Linked DNA regions of Oryzias latipes. The protein of the gene in region 4 purifies or fractionates together with the protein of the main gene of each other region. This does not show direct contact. Links are inferred from orthologs where the notes say so. Each region holds a gene or a part of one and is shown on either strand. Other genes may lie near its edges.

The links.
Region 1: the proteins of rnf111 (region 4) and mothers against decapentaplegic homolog 3 purify together in Homo sapiens (affinity purification with western blotting; 5 studies listed by BioGRID). This does not show direct contact. The link is inferred for Oryzias latipes from reciprocal best matches to the Homo sapiens genes RNF111 and SMAD3.
Region 2: the proteins of rnf111 (region 4) and smad7 purify together in Homo sapiens (affinity purification with western blotting; 3 studies listed by BioGRID). This does not show direct contact. The link is inferred for Oryzias latipes from reciprocal best matches to the Homo sapiens genes RNF111 and SMAD7.
Region 3: the proteins of rnf111 (region 4) and ski purify together in Homo sapiens (affinity purification with western blotting, with the first as the bait; 3 studies listed by BioGRID). This does not show direct contact. The link is inferred for Oryzias latipes from reciprocal best matches to the Homo sapiens genes RNF111 and SKI.
Region 5: the proteins of rnf111 (region 4) and skil purify together in Homo sapiens (affinity purification with western blotting; 3 studies listed by BioGRID). This does not show direct contact. The link is inferred for Oryzias latipes from reciprocal best matches to the Homo sapiens genes RNF111 and SKIL.

Annotation. Positions count from the first base shown.
Region 1 is NC_019861.2:12,649,747-12,653,967, reverse strand, and holds the start of mothers against decapentaplegic homolog 3, read left to right. Parts: upstream 1-1,298; 5' UTR 1,299-1,812; coding exon 1,813-2,015; intron 2,016-4,221. UniProt on the Homo sapiens protein: Receptor-regulated SMAD (R-SMAD) that is an intracellular signal transducer and transcriptional modulator activated by TGF-beta (transforming growth factor) and activin type 1 receptor kinases.
Region 2 is NC_019870.2:9,759,809-9,764,280, reverse strand, and holds the start of smad7 (mothers against decapentaplegic homolog 7), read left to right. Parts: upstream 1-1,587; 5' UTR 1,588-2,539; coding exon 2,540-3,005; intron 3,006-3,679; coding exon 3,680-3,733; intron 3,734-4,472. UniProt on the Homo sapiens protein: Antagonist of signaling by TGF-beta (transforming growth factor) type 1 receptor superfamily members; has been shown to inhibit TGF-beta (Transforming growth factor) and activin signaling by associating with their receptors thus preventing SMAD2 access.
Region 3 is NC_019865.2:32,981,613-32,985,806, reverse strand, and holds the start of ski (ski oncogene), read right to left. Parts: upstream 2,887-4,194; 5' UTR 2,448-2,886; coding exon 1,539-2,447; intron 1-1,538. UniProt on the Homo sapiens protein: May play a role in terminal differentiation of skeletal muscle cells but not in the determination of cells to the myogenic lineage. Functions as a repressor of TGF-beta signaling.
Region 4 is NC_019861.2:21,227,919-21,232,199, forward strand, and holds the start of rnf111 (E3 ubiquitin-protein ligase Arkadia), read right to left. Parts: upstream 2,885-4,281; 5' UTR 2,777-2,884; intron 1-2,776. UniProt on the Homo sapiens protein: E3 ubiquitin-protein ligase. Required for mesoderm patterning during embryonic development. Acts as an enhancer of the transcriptional responses of the SMAD2/SMAD3 effectors, which are activated downstream of BMP.
Region 5 is NC_019875.2:30,153,003-30,156,692, reverse strand, and holds part of skil (ski-like protein), read left to right. Parts: intron 1-1,987; coding exon 1,988-2,080; intron 2,081-2,240; coding exon 2,241-2,329; intron 2,330-2,969; coding exon 2,970-3,106; intron 3,107-3,690. UniProt on the Homo sapiens protein: May have regulatory role in cell division or differentiation in response to extracellular signals.

The DNA.
Region 1 (4,221 bases), about 8.6 Mb from region 4:
AACTTGAATGGATTATCAAAACAATAATTTAAATGCATTTTTTTTTCAAAGAAAACATTTGTTTAAACACAATGCATTGTGGTCTTTATTTGTCAATCTAGTGAGCATTAATGCACAGCTTTTTTGCAATCTTCTGGAAGATTTTTAGGGTACTGATTTTGGAAAAGTAGGTTCAGACAGCTCAATAAAATGACAAATATATAGCGCACTAAGAGGTGACGAATTTCTGACACAACCACGATTCAATTTACGACCCAATCACAGCGCACCAGTTGGGTTTTGCCAGGATCCACCCGGAGCTAAAGTTCTACTCTTTTAATGTATTTTTCTTTAAATACCATCGCCAACCTCCACTTCTATTTTCCATTTGTGGAACTTTTTTCGCTCATACCTAAATCATGACTCTTTTGTGAATGATGCCTCTGAAGGAAACAGGAGGAAAATAAAAACACAAGACACCAGATTCTTTGACCAAGACGTGCAAATTTTACAACCCTGCAAGGACATAAGACTCCCAGATTTGGAAGGTGTACTTGACAACAGTAAACGCTTGCTTTTGAAGCCCAAAGAACAAAAGCAACATCACACCCTGAACCATTTTCACATTCTGTGGTGGGCTCCACATCAGTGCACAGCCAATCTGGCAGTTGACTCTTTGCTTTGTGCACAAACCTGCGTGTCATATAGGACTTGTAGATGCCTTTTCGAGATTGAAAGATGCATCTGACTGTGAACCAGTTTTGGGGAAGGGGGGGAAGAGCAAAGCCACAACTTAAATAACACCCTTCCTGAGTACCAGTTTGTAAATCAAGCAAGTTAGAACAGGTTTGTAGATAGTGAGCCGGTGTGCAGTGGCTCTTATCACCTTAATGTAGCAGCTCTTTCAAGTAAAGACAAAAAAAAGCATAAAGTATGAATTAAATAAACACACAAACAGACACATTTTCAAGTAACTGTTTTCATGGAAACCTATTTTAATTGAAATCGAAGTTGATGATAACTTGAAGTACAAAAACATCACGAAAATATGGTACAAATACATTTTGACACAACTTTTAAACATCTTACTCTACAAGCGAACATTTCTGTTACACAAAACTATTTCAAGAATTGTAAGATTAGCCACGTGCAATAAGCTGTGTTTCATAACTGAATCGAAGGAGCAGTGCGTCTGTTTGAATGTGACAGCTTATTCTGGCACATGCGATGCATCAGCAGGCCTAGATTGTGTCATATCAGCACAAGCCCTTTGGCCAGCTGCTCGGGCCGGACTGTCAGAGGTCTGCTGTGCAGTCTGCAGCTTGAATAGAGTGCCAGCAGCAGCTCCGGCATTTGCATTTGATGCAGACTTTCAGCAGACTTCAATCGGCGAGCCACAGCACCGCGGATGAACTTAAACTTTACCAAACTTTATGGTTCAACGGTTGAACTATCGAGGAAAACGTAACACAGTGCGGTTACTGTATATTGTGTATCCAAATAGGAAAAACAGTTAGACACTGATATTGAAAGAAAATTAGTTGCTCTGAATTTAAAAAGTTGAGACGGAACTAGGTTTTGTGGCGGATTAGTACGGAACAATAAACTACCGGTGCGCAGTGCGGCGCTTAGCTCGAGTCAGGGCGACGAGTGCGCTTCAAGTGTTTGACCCAGAGATGCTCGTGCGCGGATTTTAATGAGCAATATTTCATATTTAGTGTTATAACGCGCGCAGCACCGTTATTTGGAGCGTCGTGGACAAAGTTGTTTTTGTTTATTTGTCCAAACCAGCGGATTCCTCGACACTGGACGGACTACTTAACTGAACTCAAGATGTCAATTTTGCCTTTCACTCCCCCCATCGTCAAAAGACTTTTGGGCTGGAAGAAGGGAGAACAGAACGGCCAGGAGGAGAAGTGGTGTGAAAAAGCGGTAAAAAGTCTGGTGAAGAAGCTGAAGAAGACGGGGCAGTTGGATGAACTCGAGAAAGCTATCACCACACAGAGCATCAACACAAAATGCATCACTATACCAAGGTATGGCGACTGTTAACGTTGACCGTGAATGCAGCATTTCTAGCTAGATAAATCCCAACTTCTGCTGTTACTCAGTTATTACAGAAAACTGCAACCCGCCCTCCACAGTCTGAGCTGTCGTGTTGTTGTCTGGCATCACTTTTTGACAGAAAGTTTCTAGTTGCTTCCCTGCATCATTATGTCAAACTTTGGTTTCCTGTGCGTTTTATTTCTGCATATTTTGGCCGCTGATGAACCGAGCTAACGGTGTTTTCTGAGCAAAGCTAGCAAATCATTTCCCCAAACGTCGACTTATATCATCATCATCATAGCACTTTCTAGCTTTTAGTTGTTGCTGTGAACCCACGTCTGAGGCGGTGCAGCGAATAGCCAACAACAACACACCGCATGCGATGTGAAAGCAGCAGCAATGTAGTCCAAGTTATATAACTTGGCCTTAATCTAGGGCGCTTTCTAGCGCTGCGAGTGCGTAGGCGAGTGAGGCTCTTTTCTGTCAGTGCTCCTGCGCGGCTATTTGTCTATCAGCACCTCGTTCGGAACACTGACGGCTGACATCCAACCGCTGCGGTATGTTTCAGAAGCTCTGCTCTGTCACGCAGTCAGAGGCTGCCACTGCCAGGAGTTATTCCCTCCACACAGCTGCACATGCTCAGAAAGACCTTCCCAAAATGTTGGCACGTGGGGTCATTAGGTTGAACGGACAGAGCTTTATTTATACTTTGTATTTAGAATATTGACCAATTCAATTTAGGGTGACACCATCAAAGCTGTCAAACTACATTTGAGACACATATGTTTGTCAAACAACAACATGGAAATATGAACTCCACTAAAGCAAATGTGTGATGTTTAGCTATATAAATGTAGAAGATATAAGAGCGCAAAACGAAATATAAAAATAAAATGTTCTGTGTGCTGGCTCATTCATCTGCTTAGTGTTTGCTAAATGGCTAAAAAAAAGCTGAATTGATTTTTCAAAAATTCATCTGAAGCCATCTCTATTGGTGGGCTTTTCTAAAAAATAAAAAAAATAAAAGGTTTCATAAAATACCCACTCCAATAAAAAAAAAGTACTTTTAACATGTTCTTGTGAGATATTTCTCATGATGGACAACATATATTAAGAAAATTAAGCTTAAAATGGCATTTCTGATAATTTCTTTGGTCTAATTGTTGTGAATCAGCCTTGAAAAAGAAGGCAGTACAGTACAGACGGCGAGCTAGGAGCTCCCTGCTCCGCTCCATTCTGATGCATCCACTTGTAGACGACTAGATCCATGTACGTCTTTGTTTTCCCCGTCCAAGCAGGCATTTGGCTCAAAACTGTATTCGGCTGGATAGCTCCAAAACTGTTTGCCATTTTTGCTGGCCTGGTAATGTTAGGTTGGAGGTGTGGCGGGCTGTAAACTAATGGGAGAGAGTGTAAACAGATGGATGATGGGAAGTGGGGTGGAGGGGAATTTCTAATGAACCACTGCTGCTCTTCAGAAAGTACTGCATGTCCTAAAAATGACACAGATTTTTATATTTTGGCTAAAAATGTCCTAATCATAATTAAAAGACCACTGGGAACGCTTTTACTATAGATCAAAAAGTGATTGTAGAGAGACTTCAAGTGTTAGTAAGTAGTAGGGATGCCACAAATCTTGATTGAAAACACACTGTAAGTTGCACAGAATTGAATAAAATTGTTTGAAATAAATGAAATAAATGAAATAAATGTCAGCCTCTGTGACGCCAAAAACATGACCAGAAACACCAGGTGGGCACACGGGGCGATCACGTTCCATCCACAGACGTTCATTTCTCCCCACCTGTCATCAGCAAGAGTTTCAAAATCACAGGTTCATTTTTGCATTTTCATTTTGCCATAGCAAACTTTTTTTCACTACGGCATGCACTTAAATCGCCCTTTCATGACGCAGAAAAGTGGCATTATTTATAGGGTATAGGTGGGCGGGGTCACAATAACAGCTCTGCGTGATTGGAGCCCTTCCTTATGGGGAAAAAAGATCATTGTGAGGGGAGAGGATCTCTCAAATCCGAAAAAAGTGATTTTTTTTTAATCCGAAAAATACAAATGGATGACAGATCAAGTTCTTTTTCATTGTCACACCCCATCGTGCCACTGTCTTTCCCTCCGCGTGCCCTAGGTTGCCGACCCCTGTTCTATAGAATTAACCGAGATTAAGTCCTTGTCTTTTCA
Region 2 (4,472 bases), on a different chromosome or scaffold from region 4:
ATGATAAAAAATACAATGGAATGGGTCTTTAAATGAGCAGCTAAATGTTCTGCGTCTGCAGACTTTGTCTTGAAGGGTAAATAAAAACACGGGTCTCAGCTCAGAGCACAGTTTTTATTGAAAACAGCCCCGCTCCACAGCCTGCAGACAGACTCTTCAGGCAGCCCGAGATGGCAAACGGTTAGATAAAAGTGTCTACTTCCTGGAGTCTGGAGACTGGTCTCATGCAAACAAAGGGAAGGGCATGCAGATTGGTGGATAGGGGAGGGGACAGCGCACGAGAGCAGCAGCAGGCACCTCCACAGAGCCCCCCTGACAGACCCCCTTTCCCCCACCCCACCCCTGACTGATTGCTTCCAGACTCCTCCAGGAACGCGCCGCAGTCCCTCTGCTCGGTTTGGGGCTGCAGTGGCGCGCTCCTCCTCGGCGCCAGTTGGGGATCCGGGGGAACAATACGGGGGGGATAAACGACTGATACCCCCCCCCCCCCCCACACACACACATACACACACACACCCCACCTCCTCCCCCATCTTTCTCCATCTCCTCCACGCATGCACACACACCCCTCCTCAACCCCACACATCTCTGCCACCATCATTATCTGCCGCCCACCCCCATGCCCTGCAGCAACTCTGTCATATTAACATACTGCTGACTGCATCTCCTCCCCGGGACTACTGTCTGTCGAGGGAAGTCTGCAGACCAGAAACGGTTCATTTCTGTTTAAAAGAACAATTTCTCCTAAAACGTGTTAAATTTATTGGGTTTGAAGTGAGACATCACAGTGAGTGTTCCCCATCAAGCTGTATTTGTACATTTTTGGCACCAACATTGAGCTAAATTCCAGACATATATAAGTCTGTTATAATTAATATGGATTCCATGAGGGCAATGACACAGAAGGAAGGCTGGCACATGTTAAAAAGACAAGAAAAGACAAATTTGATCCTCAGCTGATGGATTGATCTGCTGGATAAATAAAGATGGGTGGGAACTCTTTGTGTGTGTAGTACCGAACATGTCCGATGGGGGGCAGCAACGAGCTCCCCCGAAGGAGTCAGCACTGTGGCTCACTTCCTAAATTCAACTCCAGCCATAAACTCTCCAAAACAATAAAACTGCCCTGTGTGATCACCATGGCAACAGTGGCGAAAAGCTATGAAGATATATTAAACTGATTCATAGCTTTAACGATGAAACACGTATTTACTGCTTATTCAGTACAAGCGTGAAATTAATGATTGAATATATATATATATATATATATATATATATATATATATATATATATATATATATATATATATATATATATATATATATATATATATATATAAACATTATTTTAGGACTGAAAGCAAACCAAAAAATCTGCAGATTTACTAAATAATTTAACTGAGAAATTTTTTTAATGTTGTTCTTTTTTCTGCAAATATTAAACTTTTGTGGCGTAAACTTTCTCATTTGTGTTTTCTAAGTGCGCGCGCGCGCTTGTGTGTGTGTGTGCACCGTGGGCTCTACTTGATCTGTTGTTTGCGCAACACAATCACATTTCTTTTAAGCGACAGGGTGTCTAGACACACACGTGACCGGGCGCGTCAATGCGCACTGGAGACTGGAGACGGAGCAAGGGCACCCAAACCATCCGCCTCATTTACAGACAGAGAGCCCTTTAGCCCGGACCAGATCAGCTGTCTGCTCGCTTTCCTCCACGCTCAGCCACGGAAACTCCGTGAGAGATACGATTTTGGATTATTTTATCTGGAGGGATTGCTAAAAGCAGGCTCGCTGCGTGGACGCAAAAAAGAAAAAGAAAAACGGAGGGTCTTGCTGTGGCTTTACAAACGCGACTCAACTCCGGTGGGAGACCTGGATTTTTTTCTCCTTGGCTCACTATTTTACCAGAAGACCTCATCCACTACATACTAAAATATACATTTAAAGGTGGGGAGCCCCAGTTCGTGCGCTCGGATGAAGGATTTTGTGGATTATGCTACTCAAGACGCGGCGGAGAGCTTCGCTTTTTCATGGGATGATTGCGCCAGCGTTGAGGCTTAATTAGGCCTTAGGTTTTTCTTATAAGTACCAGTTAGTTGTGACTTGAATAAACATTTCTGACAGCGTTTTTCCCCCCGCTGTAAACCGTCACGGCGTTTTTTTAAAGGGGTCAGTTCACAGCGCCGGATTGCACAAAACTGTAACGCATTCGGGCTTCACGCAGCTCCGCTGCTGCAGGTTTCCTGCTCCGGTTTGGTGTTTCTAAGCTCATAGATGTGATCTTTTTTTTTTTTTGTATTCTGATCGTGGAAACGTTGGCTGTCCCGCCAACCTCGAGCGCTTTCTGGTGACCTTTCTGCAGGAAAAACAGCTTCAGAGACTGGCGCATGCTATAGATTTCCTCTGCTTCTCCAGCTCCCAGTTTTTCCACCGTTTTCTCTCAGGCTGCTTGTCATTGCCTGGACTCGGATCCCGGAATCTTCATGATTTGCGGACACCATGCTCGTTTTTTAGCCGGGAAACCCTCTTTTCGTCCCGCATGTTTAGGACCAAACGATCGGGGCTCGTCCGGCGACTCTGGAGGAGCCGTGCGCCCGTGGAGGGCGACGGGGAGACGGATAGAGGGACGCATGGCTCCGGGGGCTGCTGCATGGGCAAAGCGACAAAAGTGGCCAAGTCCAACGCGGGGTCGGAGGCCGAATTGAAGGCGTTGACCCACTCGGTACTGAAAAAGATCAAAGAAAAACAATTAGAGGTGCTTTTGCAGGCGGTGGAGTCCAAGGGGGGCGTCCGGAGCCCCTGCCTTCTCCTGCCCAGCAAAGTGGACGCCAAAGTGGGTCAACAGTCTTACTCCCTCCCCATGCTGCTCTACAAAGTGTTCAGGTGGCCGGACCTCAGGCATTCCTCGGAGCTGAAGAGGCTGTCGTGCTGTGAATCTTACGGGAAAGCCAACCCCGAGCTCGTTTGCTGCAACCCTCACCACATGAGCAGGCTCTGTGAACTCGGTGAGCTTCAATATTTTCACTAAAAAAAACTCCAAAAAAATGAGGTCCTAGGTGGAGAGAAGGCTGAAAAAGACTGTGCCAATTAACCTAATTCTAATGACAACACCTCTCTGGCACAGTGGTCTTCAGGTTCCATTGATCTGAAGCTGTGCCAGATCCTTTTAGCAGGTTTGGTGGTCGAGTTTGAATAGAAACCTACTTTAATTAATTGTTCCATTTGATTTTTTTTTTCCAAAACTCAAATCCTCCTCAGCTATACGCATTGTCGCGGTTTCAGATTTCCAAACACCCCTGTTAAGAATTTCAACATTTCATAATTGGCATCCAAAGTACAGAAAGACTCTCCAGTCTTGAAATGTGTGTGTTTATGTGTGTGTGTGCTTGCTTGGCGTCCCGGGCCAAAAGAGGCCCGTATCTCAGTTTGTCCTAGACGCTGATAGTGGCCCTTCTGGCGCCAGGCGGCCCCCTGTTTATCTGCCTGCCAATGAAAGGCAATAGCCGCCCGGCCAGCCTCACTGCCTGCTTCTCCAGGCGGAGCTGACAGGCACAAATCAGCCCTCCCCTGAAGAATGACAACTCTTATCAGAAAGTTCAGATCTCTCCTTTGTGTTTTTTTTCTTCCTCTTCTTTTCTCATGCAGTTTTTTTTCTTTCCCCCCCTCCTCCTCCACACAGAGTCTCCTCCTCCTCCTTATTCGCGATATCCCATGGACTATTTGAAACCACCAGGTGAGCTTGATGCATCATTTCACATGGATATTTCCTAAGTCATTGCTTTTTGTTTGTTTGTTTGTGCAATAATATGCATGTTTGAAGTGATGTCATGAGCTGCACTTCACGTTGGTGTCCTCTGCAGGAAATGGTGTTGTGATTTATGGGGAGTTGTGTGTGTGTGGGGGGGGGGCAGAGTGACACGCCTGGCTGGCTGGCCAATTCTAATGTGGCTAGCAGCCAGGGCAAGGCAATACGAAGTTGAGATACCAGCTATGGACTGACTGGCATGTCACCAGGGCTTGTGTGCATGTCTGAGTTGGGGGTGGGGTTGGGGGGGTGGTCTGTCCATCTATCTATTGTGAACCACAGTGCTGAGAGAGACAGACAACAGAGTCTGGAGCCAGTCAGCCTTTATCAGATGGAATGATCAGTAGATTAAGAGTGGGGTTTGCGGTGTGTGTTTGGGAGGGAGGGGGGTCTTTTCTCCACTCAAAGTGATTGCCCCCCCCCTCCACCACCACCACCACCCAACACTTGTTTTCTGACTTGACCCGGGCCCCCGTGTGGCAGCAGGCCACAGCATCGTCATGGGTTACATCCGCTTTGAAGACCAAACCCTCGTCTTTAATTATCTCTTATTTCTGATCATCTCAGCCTCCATGGGCGCAGAAACAGCCCGGAGTTAAACAGCCAACTGTCAGCCAGCCAGTTAGTCAGAAGAAGGAGAAAGTGGCTTTCAGTGAGTGGAAACAAT
Region 3 (4,194 bases), on a different chromosome or scaffold from region 4:
TAGGGGAATCACTTCCTGCAGGACCAGGAAATCTGATTTCCCTCTAAGTTTGCAGCAGTGAAGTCAGAGCTTGCTGCACAGACATACACTTCATTCAAGTCTGGTCAGGAACGCCGTCATGTGACGGAGGAGCTGAGGGAGCGGCAGGTGTGGAATGTAAGCATGGGCTCTAATGAATGAGCATCTATCTGAGCCGCTGTCTGACATCTACATCCCAATCCGTCTTCTGAGCAGAGACGGCCGCCTTCAGTCGGCTCTAACCTGCAGAAACCTGATCCCGTCTGGCGTCTGCAGCAGAAATCTGCAGCTGTGCTCATCTAAACATCCTAACACAGAAACAGACACTCGTCGCCTGTGCCGGCACATGTGCACCAGCCAGAAACCAGAACTGCAGCCACGGCCCTGAGGCCCCCGAAGAGGAGACGCAGCGGGCAGCCTTAGCTCTGAAGCTCAGTTAAGAGTTTTGAAAGAAAAGTCTGCGAGGAGGGAAGTGTGACAATATGACTTCCTTTGTCTGTCTGCATGCGAGACTTCTGCTCTCACTTCTGTCACCGTGACGCAGAGCCGCCTCTCCAGCTACTGAGATGAAAGAGCCCCTGCTCTGCTCCATTCTGATGCATCCACCTGCAGATCCGTCTTTGGGGTCTCAGCGGAGGCAGCTACAGCCGCGACCCAGAAAACCACACAGGATTTTTGATTTGGGCTAAAAAACTGCCTCATTATAATTGAAAGACCACTGAAAAAAATTCAAAAGATGATTTGAGTGGAACTAAAGAAAAAGGAGTGAGACCCCTGCACACCTCCTGACCAAGAGGAGGACCCCCCCTCTGCAGGACTTTTCTCTGCGCATGATAGGACTCCAGCACTCAGCTGCAGAGGGTCTGCCTCCCCCACATGTCCCCCGAGCTTTAAATCAGATGAGAAGAAAAAGCAGAGCTGGAGTGTGTGTGTGTGTGTGGGGGGGGGGGGGGGGGGTCCCCATGTTTACTGAATGCTCCTCTTTGTTGGGATCATATTATGTTTCCTCCACAATGCTCCCAAAGCCTGCCTCATCAGCTCCATTGATGTGGAACAGTTCATGCAAATGGCCACGCTGGCTTTTTCTCCCCCATGGGGGTGTTGTGTGTGTGTGTGTGGGGGGGGGTCCTACATCGGCCACAACTCTAAGCTAACTCACCACCTCACAGACTCATCAGTCCAGAGCTGCCCCCCCCCCCTGACCAACACTAAGTTACACCTGCAGAAATGTCCCTCGTCATCGCCCCCCACCCCCAAGACAACCCCCACTCTCTAGTGTTTACACTTTCCCGAGAGCCATTTGTTGGCAGACGAGCTTCCATCTACTGTTCTGACCAATAAAGGCTGTTTTAAGGCAATCCAAGAGGCAAATAAGTGTTTTATTGCCACCAGGGAGGGGGGCAGCATTACTAACCACCTGATAGATGAGCAAACACTGACTAAGGGGGGAGGCAGGTCTGTCACGACAACTTTTGTCATGTTTTCTGTAGAACGGAGACGTTGAGACGCGCGCGGCTCACCCTGGACGCAGCTTTCCGTTTGTACTTGTTTGCAAAGTCGAACTTCTCCTTGATCTCGTCCAGGATCTGCTCCAGGCGCGCCTTCTCCTCTTTGCCCGTGTAATCCTGACTCAGGAGGATGTACGCCCTCCAGTTCGCGGAGTCGAAGCCCCAGTGGCAAGTCCTGTTCTCCTGCGCCTTGTGGCTGTGCACCACGAACTTGTGCGTCGGGTACATGAGTCTGCAGTCCAAGCACTGGATGCACGCCGCGCTCGGGCTGCCGTACAGCTCCGGCACCAGCAAGCCCTTGCACTTGCCGAAACACTCGTGGTAGACTTTGAAGCTCCTGTCGGTGAGCTGCAGCTCCAGCGCCCCCGCGCCCCCCAGCTCCTTCTTGGCGCGCGGCGGGAAGGCTCCTCCGTAGATCAGGGCGTTGCAGAGCCGCTCGGCGTCCGTCTTGGTGATGAGGCCGCAGGACGGCGCGGAGAACGGCAGGATCCCCATGACTTTGAGGATCTCCAGCTGGTCCGCCGTGCAGCGGGAGCAGTAGATGTGCAGCTCGTCGCACACGGAGTTGATCTGCTGCAGGCTGAAGTCCCGCAGCACCGTGTTGAGGATCTGCGGCAGGCACAGGCGCTTCTCGCCGCCCACCACGAAGCACGAGATGGTCTCGCCCTCCAGCACCGTCTCGCACCTCTCCGTGGAGCGGTCGGACGGAATGAAGAGCGGGCCCGGCATGACGGGCGGCGGCAGATGCTGCAGCGCCGGCTCGGGCTCCTTCCCGTCCTTCTTGAAGAGGAGCTCATGCTGCCACCGGGCGGAAAACGCCGCCGGGCCCCCCAGAGAGATCATGGAGCTGAGGTGGAACTGCTTCAGAGTTTGCTGCAGTCCCGGATGAGGCTGGAAGCTCTGCCGACTTACAGCCTCCATGCTTTCCCTGCAACTTTACTGATCCGCGGAGCTGCTGCTGCTGCTGCTGCTGCTGACCGGGAGTCCCGAAAACGGATCCGTTCCTGAAGCTGGAAAATCCACGGCGTCCCGCAGTGACTCGAACCCACCAGGCGCGTCATCAAACACCCGCTCTGAGGAGAGGAAAGTCCGGGACTCAGAGCGCAGCCGGACCGGCCGCTCCGTCCGTCCGTCGGGCTGCGCGCCGCCTGTGCGCCTCTGAGGCCGGAGAGCAAACTCCGGAGAGCCGCCGAGTTCCGCGCGCCTGCTTCCGCGAGCGCACCTGAAGGGAGGGGGGACAAATCCCGTCTTAGGTTCCTCTGCTGTCGAGGACTGCGCCGATCCGTTGCGTGTGCCCCCGCAGTTCAGTCTGACAGTGCGGGGGGTGAGGTCTGAGAGCAGGCTGCGCGCGCGCCCTCCCTGCGCCGTGCGCGCCCCCGCGCCCCCGCCCCCTCCGTGTTTGTGTCTGGCTCAGTCATTGAATCCCGGCCAGGAATGCGACTGACTCCGCAGGCACGAACGCCCCCCCCCTCCCCCAAGAGGCGCGCACGCGCAGGAGCACACACAGAAGCGTGCGCAGATATCCTCGTGAGGACTTTCACAGTGAAGCTCGCAGGACGTCCCGTTGACTTCTGTCCATTTCCTTATTCTGATTTAAACTTCACGAGCTGACGGCTTGCCCCGCCCTTAGTCACCGCGGTGGGGACCGCTCCGTGGCCCCCCAGGGGGCCGTTGTTTCCATCCTCCACACCCTCAAACCCATGTTCAGGTTCCAGGGACCCTACATCAGTTCTTTGGCTTTTTACCCCTAAACTCAGACTCTTGGTCTTGAAAATGGATTATTTGGACACCCACTCCCCCCTGGACCAGAGAAGAACCACTGATGTTTGATACTTCGCTGAGCGGTGAACACTGGACCACTGGACCACTCTACAAACCAGTAGAGTGGAGTGGAGTAAAGCTGGTCTAGGAAGCCGGAGGTTCCTGTCACCTTGGTCATCAAATGGTTCTAAAGCTGACTAAAGAAACGCTTAGATCAGGTCTAACTCCTCAAGAACTCCTCACCTTTGAGAACCAGGACTAGTGTAAAAACTGAGCAGCAGTTGGAGCAAGCAAGCAAAGCTAAGCTGCAACCCAATCACACACAGACACAAGAAGCCCCCCCCCCCCCCCCCCCCCCCCCGTTCATACACAGTTCACCCTCATCCTTCAAATGTAACCCGCGAGACTTCAACACTTTGAACTTCGGCTCTGTAAGGTCAGGTCCTCTTAAGGTAACAAATTCAAGTACACACATGCAGGGAAAGGGGGGGGGGGGGGGGCTCTGAGCTTCACTCATGGACTGGATATAAAACTGGACTAAGCAGTGGGACATCACCCTCTCCTCTGGCTCCAGCAGAATGAAGCCAATTCAGTCAGCATTCTTCTGTGAAACAGGCGTCGCCTTTTGGAGCCAGACGACAGTGGTTGGTCCGAGTCGGTCTGTCATGTTTCTAGGGCAACTGCTGTCACCAATCAGGAGTAGGCTTGTCTGAAGTCCAAACCCTTCCACTAAAAGCCTGTCAGATCTATTTGTCAATCAAATGTTCAAGGTGGGGGCCAGCGGGCACTGCATACTTTTACTGAGGCATCTGATTGGTCAGTGTATCCCTTGTGCTATCCTAGCCACTTGGGCTAGGGAGTTGGGTCATCTAGACCCACTAGACAGTGCTCTGAACCTTTTTTCTTC
Region 4 (4,281 bases):
AGATCTCAGCTCAGATCTGAACCACTAGCTGGCTCTGTACTACCCTGTCATTTTAACTTTACTCAATGAAACTTCTACCAGTTTATTGTTATACTGCTAACCAATGTTTCTACACGAAAACTGACAGTGTTCAATAAAAGGAAATGGGGGAAAAAATGACTAAAGCAATACCCACAGTATTTTCAGGTCCTAATAGAAAATTATTTAAAGACCTGCTCTGATGAAAATGGTGTTTTTGGTGATAATGTGTTGTTCTGCCATTTTTCTCATGATGGAGAACATATATAAAGAAAAGGAAGTGCAGAATTGCATTTCTGAGTATTTCTTTAGTCAAACTGTTGTGAATCAGGACCAGACAAAAAAAATGATGTTGGAAAAAGCTTGTAGCTATGACACAGAACCTACGACAAGCCACAAGCTCCATGCTCCACCTTATTCTGATGCTACATTCACGGCAGGTATGTCTTCCAAAATACGCAATACGCGTTTTCATGAAATCACGTTCAGTCCATGGTATTCACATCAGACAAGCATCATCTGAGTATCATGTAATTCCGGCTGGGCATAAACCACAATTATTGATTTCTCCTCCATGATCACGTTTAGAATGCTTGGCACATCGTGTTTTGAAAATGACGCTCCCCACACATCACCACCAAATCCGAGTCTCTGGTTGGTCAAAGTTTAGCTGTATGATGTTCAAGCAGTGGAAGGTTCAGATGAATGAACTTTCAGCGTGCGTTCCGGGAGCCCATTGACGGTATATTATAACTGGACGAATGGCGTGTGACATCACCCATAGAAAATGCTTTGATTCTGGTTCCAACCAATGAAGTCAATTCAATTGCCATTTTTCCCTTAATGTGTCCGCCGCCGTGTTGGAACCAGACTGCAAGAGCAAGAATAGCCATTCAAACATTCTGAATGAGTAATAGCTGTTTATTTCTTAAAATAAATTTATGGGATTTTGGCTTTTTGGGACCAGCGGGTACTTCCTATTTGGAACGCACAGGGGGGAGGGATTGTTCAGCTGTTTACAGGCTTTTACATAGACTTTTCCTCGAAAGTGGCTGTCTGAACGTGAGTTGACGCAGTCGGTGTGACTGTAGCTTCATGCATCCCACTGTGGACGATTTGATTCGTGAACGTCTTTGTTTTCTTCGTCTGAGCCGACATCCGGCTCAAAACGGTACGACTGGATAGCTCCAATATTGTTCACCATTTTTGTTGCACTAGTAATGTTATGTTGGGGGTGTGAGGGGCCGTAAGCTAGCCAGAGAGGGTATGGGGGGAGACTTACGGAGCGCTGACAATCCAGGCCACTATTCAGAGGTGAATTATTGATGAATTGTTGCTGCTCTGCAGAAACTATGTCCTAGAAAATGACACAGGTTATAGGATTTTGCCTAAAAACAGCATAATTATAATATAGGCTCTTTGAAAATAGATCAAAAGATGATTGGAGTGGGACTTTAAATATAGGTTCCAGCTTTAAAATAGTACAAGTTAGCATTTTTAATTGGCACAACCTCAGTACTACAAGAGGATCTCAAATCTCATTTGTCAGACGTTTCTGGTCCGCATTGATATGTTGGACTTGCACATTAAGTGGATGTTTTCTCAGTTCATTTAGTTAGTAAATACATTCACTTCACCTAAAGATGAGACCCCCCCCCCCCCCTCAAAGCTGTAAAAATGGCAAGTTAAGTGAATTAAATCATGAAGCATATCACACACAGCTCTCTTAAAAGCAAAGTTGTAGGAGAGAAATGCGAAATGCCAGAGAAAAAGCTGCGCAATGACAGGCATGGAGCCGAGGGCCTCAGAGAGGAACCCTCAAGGGGAAAACTAAACATCGATGCAGAATAACCGGGTGTTTTTATATTTGCCTTATGCGCAAATACGAGCGGATAACTTTGAACAAGTTGGACATGCTACTGTCACATCAAGTCGGCCTTGCCAACGTAACATTTTGGTGTCACTGAAGTGGCACAAGTACAGCAGCTCCTGAGCTGAGCTCTGCCGTCCGACCGCTTCTGTCTGTGCAGCAAAATAAAATGACCAAGTGCAAGTCCTCTGATGAGGCGAGCAAAACGCCAATGGAACCGGACTGACATCGAGCTGAAAGCAAAGGCTTTGCATAGTTTCTACAACGCTAAACAATTCTAATAAGCCAGCTGTCCGTATGTATGTCTGTGTCCCACAAACGTTGCTAAAGTGACTGAGGCCAAAGTGATGTTATATCAAAATAACTAGGATACATATAAGCATAGTTATTCATTAATATTAAATTATTCGATATATCGGGTGTATGTCCAAATGAAGAACATGAAGAATATTTCAGACAGAAGACAACAAAGACACCACGTACTATAGTCTAAGACCTTGTTTTAAAAATATGTCATCATCTTTTTTTCTCTGTCTCTCATTTAAAGATGTAAAATCCCAAAGGAAAGCTGTGGCTAACGTTAAGAGCAGATTTGTTTGTAAATATGTTGACTCTTCCTGCATTACGATGCGCCAACAAAGAAATCGCAGCCAGAGGAAGGCAGTGGCTGGGATTGTGAAACTGACAACAGTCCCAACCAGAGCCGAGAAACAAAATCAGGCAACGGGGCCTGGGTAGCGGCGAGCTAAGCTAAGGCTAGCTGCACTCCACTGGTCAAATATTCGACTATATTGAGTAATTCTGATCTATTAAAAGCTTCTGACAACCTCAAAAATATGCTATAACCTCTCTATCATGTTTTTGTCTTAGAAAATAGAAGTGGCTCACTGTTTGCCCTCGACGAAGTTCCATTCCAGCCTTGCGAGACATTCACTGTTGTTTACCCAGCAGGTTGTCTGCTGGAAGGCTACGGCTAAAGCCTCTGCGTTTCCCGCACAGCCGCACGGGGGCGTCAGAGATCCCAACCTGCGAGCAGAATTTTTACGACGCTTTGCGACAGTTCGTCTCCTTTCTTTCTCTATTTTAAAACAGTCCCGAATGGTTACGGTACATACACCGATACGATAGCTAATATTTGCATTCAGAGAATTTTTGTTTATTATTTTTTTTTCCAAGAGAAAAAAAATCTTATATTTCTTAAAATAAAATAACTGAAGTCTTTATACGTATCATTGATTTCAATGGACGTCGTCCATGTACAATACCACAGCACCCTCTAGTGGATCAATTTGAAATAAACAACAACAAAAAATAACACAACTCCCTAATTTATTTGGATTGATGGTTTATTACAAACTAAATGAAATTATCAGATTTTAAGATAATGTCATATTATGGAATGTTTACCTGGAGAAAATTAGATTTTTAATTTTATGCCAAATATCTTTCCTACCAACAACAGTTAATACTGTTTGTCAATTGGAAATCAGAGTCAGCTTGCAAGATAAATAAATTATATGTTTTCATGGGAATTCTTTCTCAGAGAACGTTTCTTTTATCATTAAAATTTATCATAAACATCTCTTGTACACAACATATTAATAAATATGCGGTTGACAGACTTATGATCAAATTTGATAAATTTGGGAAAAACAAAACCGTAGAACACATTTGTAACTATGACGACATGTAAATATTTTATAATCTAAGGGCAATTCCTTAAGTAAATCCTAACTTCCATAAAAAAAAAAAATTACTTTTTATGTCTCTAAAGGGTTTTTTGTGAAGGTGCCTTAACAATAATGGATCCCATGTCAGTGTGGAATCAAGTCTTCCGTTATCCTGTATATTCTGTATCACAATTTTGCTTTTTTTTTTTAGTCTTTTCATTTCCTATGCTGCTTCTACTTAATCAGTGCAGTCTGTCAGTTGTAATTGTTATAGTGAATGGAGCACATTCAACATCAACAAACCATGGTTCACTGCTAAGCTGAGGCAACTACGTCAGGACAAAGAAGAGGCCTACAGGAGTGGTGATTGGGACCGGTACAAGGAAGCCAAGAATAAGCTGACAAAGGAGATCAAGGCCACAAAGAGGACCTACACTGCAAAGTTGACATACTAGTTTTCTGCCAACGACTCTACTGCAGTTTGGAAAGGCCTGCTGACCATCACCAACTACCGGAGACCATCCCCCCGCCCCTCAGACAGTTACCACCTTGCTGAGGAGCTTAACGACTTCTACTAAAGGTTTGAAAGAATTTAACCGTCCCCCTCAGCCATCATTTCCATCACACAGGATCGACCTGCAATCCCAACCTCCCCCACACCTGCCCCTCATCTGCACGGAGGATCTGTGAACGAGATGTGCGCCAACAGTTCCAGAAGCAGAA
Region 5 (3,690 bases), on a different chromosome or scaffold from region 4:
GACAAAAGCTAAGCTGTAAACATTTGTCGTCTTTTTATGGATTTGGCGTCTCACGTCCTCCAATAAATGACTTTCTGGATTCGTTCTCCCACATCAGTCTGTGTGGGGAGGGCCAGCAGAAACCATGCTGCTCCTCCAGGGGGGGTGTTCATCTGGGGGTCGGCGACAGAACTCTGATGTTAAGGTGGTTCCTGGTCTCTGTAGTTCTGAGCTTCATGAAGGATCTGCTCTGAACCGGATCTCTGCTTGATCTCAGGTTTCTGTGAGGAAAGTGCGTGCACGTCTGTCCGTTACCGTGCACGTATGGAGATACCATCTCTGTTTATAGCACAGCGTCTCTGTGCGTGAGGGGAGTCCACGTGACCACGTAGGGGCTGGACCTCCGTCTGTGTCGGTTTGTGTCAAAGGCTCCTCTGCCTCAGGGGTGTAGCGTCCAGCCGGGGCCTCCTCCTGCTTTCTGAGAGGAGGACGAGTCCTCTGGTCCCAAACTGAAGAAATGACCGCAGACACACACAGACAGAGTCACGGATGTTCCTGCAGCTCCTGCCTCTGCATGAGCGCCTGCTGCAGAAATGTCACGTGCGCCGTGGAAGTGGGTCACTGAAGTTCACATGGCGGCGTGTGTCTGCGGCGCTCGGGGGTGATGCGTGTGAAGCCGACAGACTGCAGGTGATTAAGAACAGCAGAGTTCAGCGCGGAGTGGGATCTGCCTTTGTCAGGAGGTGTGTGTGGGGAGGGGGGCACAAAGAAGTGCTCATCCTTTGGGGGGGGGGTTGTGTTTGTAGTGGGCCGTCCTGGGTCAGAACCTGCACTTAGGTCATGAACTGTAGGGTTCAGACAGAAACCACAACCTCTGAGACATGAACGAATGGTGACACCTAAACTTCCTGTTTCCCGCCGCCCTTCCTGCTCACCTGACAGTGACCCCCCCCCCACGCCACAGCAGTGCATGTGCTCATTATCAACACGCTCTTTGCTCTGCTATAAACGTGTGTGGGTGGTAGTGTTCTGACATTCTTGGTTTACTGTCACATGCACACGCACGTGCACATGCACGAGGACAAACGGGAATCACACAAAGTGTAAAATCCCTGCTGGGGGGGGGTTCCACAGAACTTCCACCGCAGTGTTGTTTTCTCCTTTTGTCCTCCCCCCTCCTCCCTGGCGGCTCTGCAGTGCTGCCTCCTGGATGGAAAAAAGGAAAAACCTCCAACCACAAGTATTTTCAGACGGACGAGCCCCCGCCTGTGCTCCGGCCCACCTGCAGCCGGGGGGGGCGCATGTTCTGACGCACTCGACATGTCTGTGGAGGGGGGGGGGCTCTGCAGATTATCTCTCTATAGATTTTTGTCTCACTGCCGATTGATCAGTTTTATTGTGAAAATCCCTCATTCTGATGGTTTTATTGTGAAAATCCCTCATTCTGATCTGGCAGGCTCGCTCAGAAGGTCACAGGACTTTTCCTGCGTAGTTTTCATGCTCCTTCCTTCTGATGATGAAGACCCTCATGTCTGTCACGGACCTCCTCTGTCTGTTAGGAGGCGTTCGCCATGCCTCCTTTTGACCTTCTGCTCTTCTGGTCTCCGCCTCCTCTGCGCTGAGGTCACCCTTTTTCACGCCTTTTCTGTGTCAGACGCCCCAGTTGGACGTGTAGTCCGTCTCCTTTGTCTAAAGGGTCGTCTCCAGTCTAAAACACGGAGGCGCTTCATCTGCAGCGTTCACCAAACCGCTGATCATCAAACCATCATCGGGTCTGGATCCGTCCAAACCTTTCAGTCCGTTTTGTTTCCCTGCAGCCACGGTTCCGGGGTCACTTCCTGTCTCTGTGGCATTTGTCTGACCTCTGACCTGTTTTGAAAATCGTTTCTGTGAACAGTTTCCGGAATATTTATTTTCAGTAGAATATCAGGAACCATCTTTCTCACTTCCTGTCTCTGCAGCAAATGTCTGACCTTTGACCTATGTCCTGTTTCTCTCCGTACATCAGAAGACGGGGGAGGAAGAGGAGGGCCGCGTGAGGAAGAACTCTGCAGATCTCTGCTCTGTTAATAAGTTGGACGATGCTGAACCTGCCAGAAAGGTCAGTCAAAGCCCCGCCCCCTACGGTCTACATCTGTACCTCTCACCGTCTTTGTGTGTGTGTGTGTGTGTGTGACTTTTTCTCTGTCTTTTGTGTCTTATAAAGTCTTTTTTGTTGCTGTTGTGTCACATTCCCAGTTTGTATGATTTGTGCTCCACAGGGTAAACCGTCTCCCCCCGCTCTGCTCTACAGCCATGTTTTCCCAGACATCAAGGAGGAGCCAGGACCCCCCACCCTGGTCCATCCCAGGTACTGCACCTGACTCGCTCACAAAAGACACTCAGGTTCCCATCATGCCTCTGGCTGCAGACGCCCTGACGTTCAGAATCAGACTCCATTTTTCATGGGGACAACATGATCAGACCTGTGCTGCTGAGGCTTCTGGGTAATGGAGTCTTTGCCATAGAAAACTGTTTATTCGAAGTTTGTTTTTTGGAGGAGCCCCCCCCCCCCCCCCCCATTAATCTGACTGGGATTACAGCCAAGAATTCGGGGTTTATGCTGCTGTGGTTGATGACTGACGTCAGAGTGTGTGTGGGGGGGTCTGGTCACCTGGCAGCCTCTGTGCACAGAGAGGGGGGAGGGGGGCCAGGTCTCTGCTGACATCTGAGAACTGTTCTTTTTTGGGGTGGGGGGCACAGGGAGGGGCAGCAGAGCCACTGAGCTGTCAGGCTTCACCTGGTTCAGTGCTGCAGCCTCCCTTGGGGGGCAGGGAGTCTCAGCGCCCCTCTTCTTGGCGTGCAGCCCACACAAACAGGAAGTGAGGGCCTGTAGTCTCCTCTGGAGGAGCTAAAAGACTGGCTGGAGGTTGAGTGGTGGACCCCCCCACCAAAGCAAACAGAGCAGCTGCTTCATCTTTATGCTGTCATGCGTCTCCTTTTCTCTGCAGTTACTACCTGTACACCTACGATAAGATGGTGGCGCCCAACGTGTCCCTGCGGAGGGAGGCGGAGGTGAACCCCGACATGCTGGGGGCGCTGCTCAGACAGCACTACGGCCACAGAGCCCCGGACGAGCCCCCAGTGGGTGAGTGAGCAGACAGCGGTTCAGAACCAAACACGTCCATGAAATGCTGCTTCTGTTTGACAAACGCCGGAGTTCCAGTTTGAGACCAACGTTTGTTTTTACAAAAGTCTCCATTTGATTTTATTACAGTGAGAAAAAAGGTTTGATTCTAAAACCAACATTTACTCTGAGATTCCAGATCAGCTGGAAGTTTTTCAGCATTTATGTGAACAGAACAAAAGAAAACGTGACGACTTTTCATTTGTATGAAACACACCTGTACAAAAATGATCTCACACACACATTTGATGGTGATAAACGGGCGGTTAGTGACCCCCCCTCCAGTGATGAGTCACGTCTACAGCTGTTGGACCCCCCCTCTGTTTGCTAGACCCCTTCTTTTACTCTTTAAGCCCCACCCTCCTTCATCTCAGCCTCTCTATCACACTTCTGCCCGCCCAGATCTTAGTGAATGTAATCAATGCCTCCATTCTATTATTTCCCATGATGCACCTCTGAGGCCAGCCTCAGCTGTGGGACAGCGCGCGGCGGCGTTCAGCGCTCCCACACCGACGCGGGGAAAGTTGGTGGGCGGTTCGGTAGCG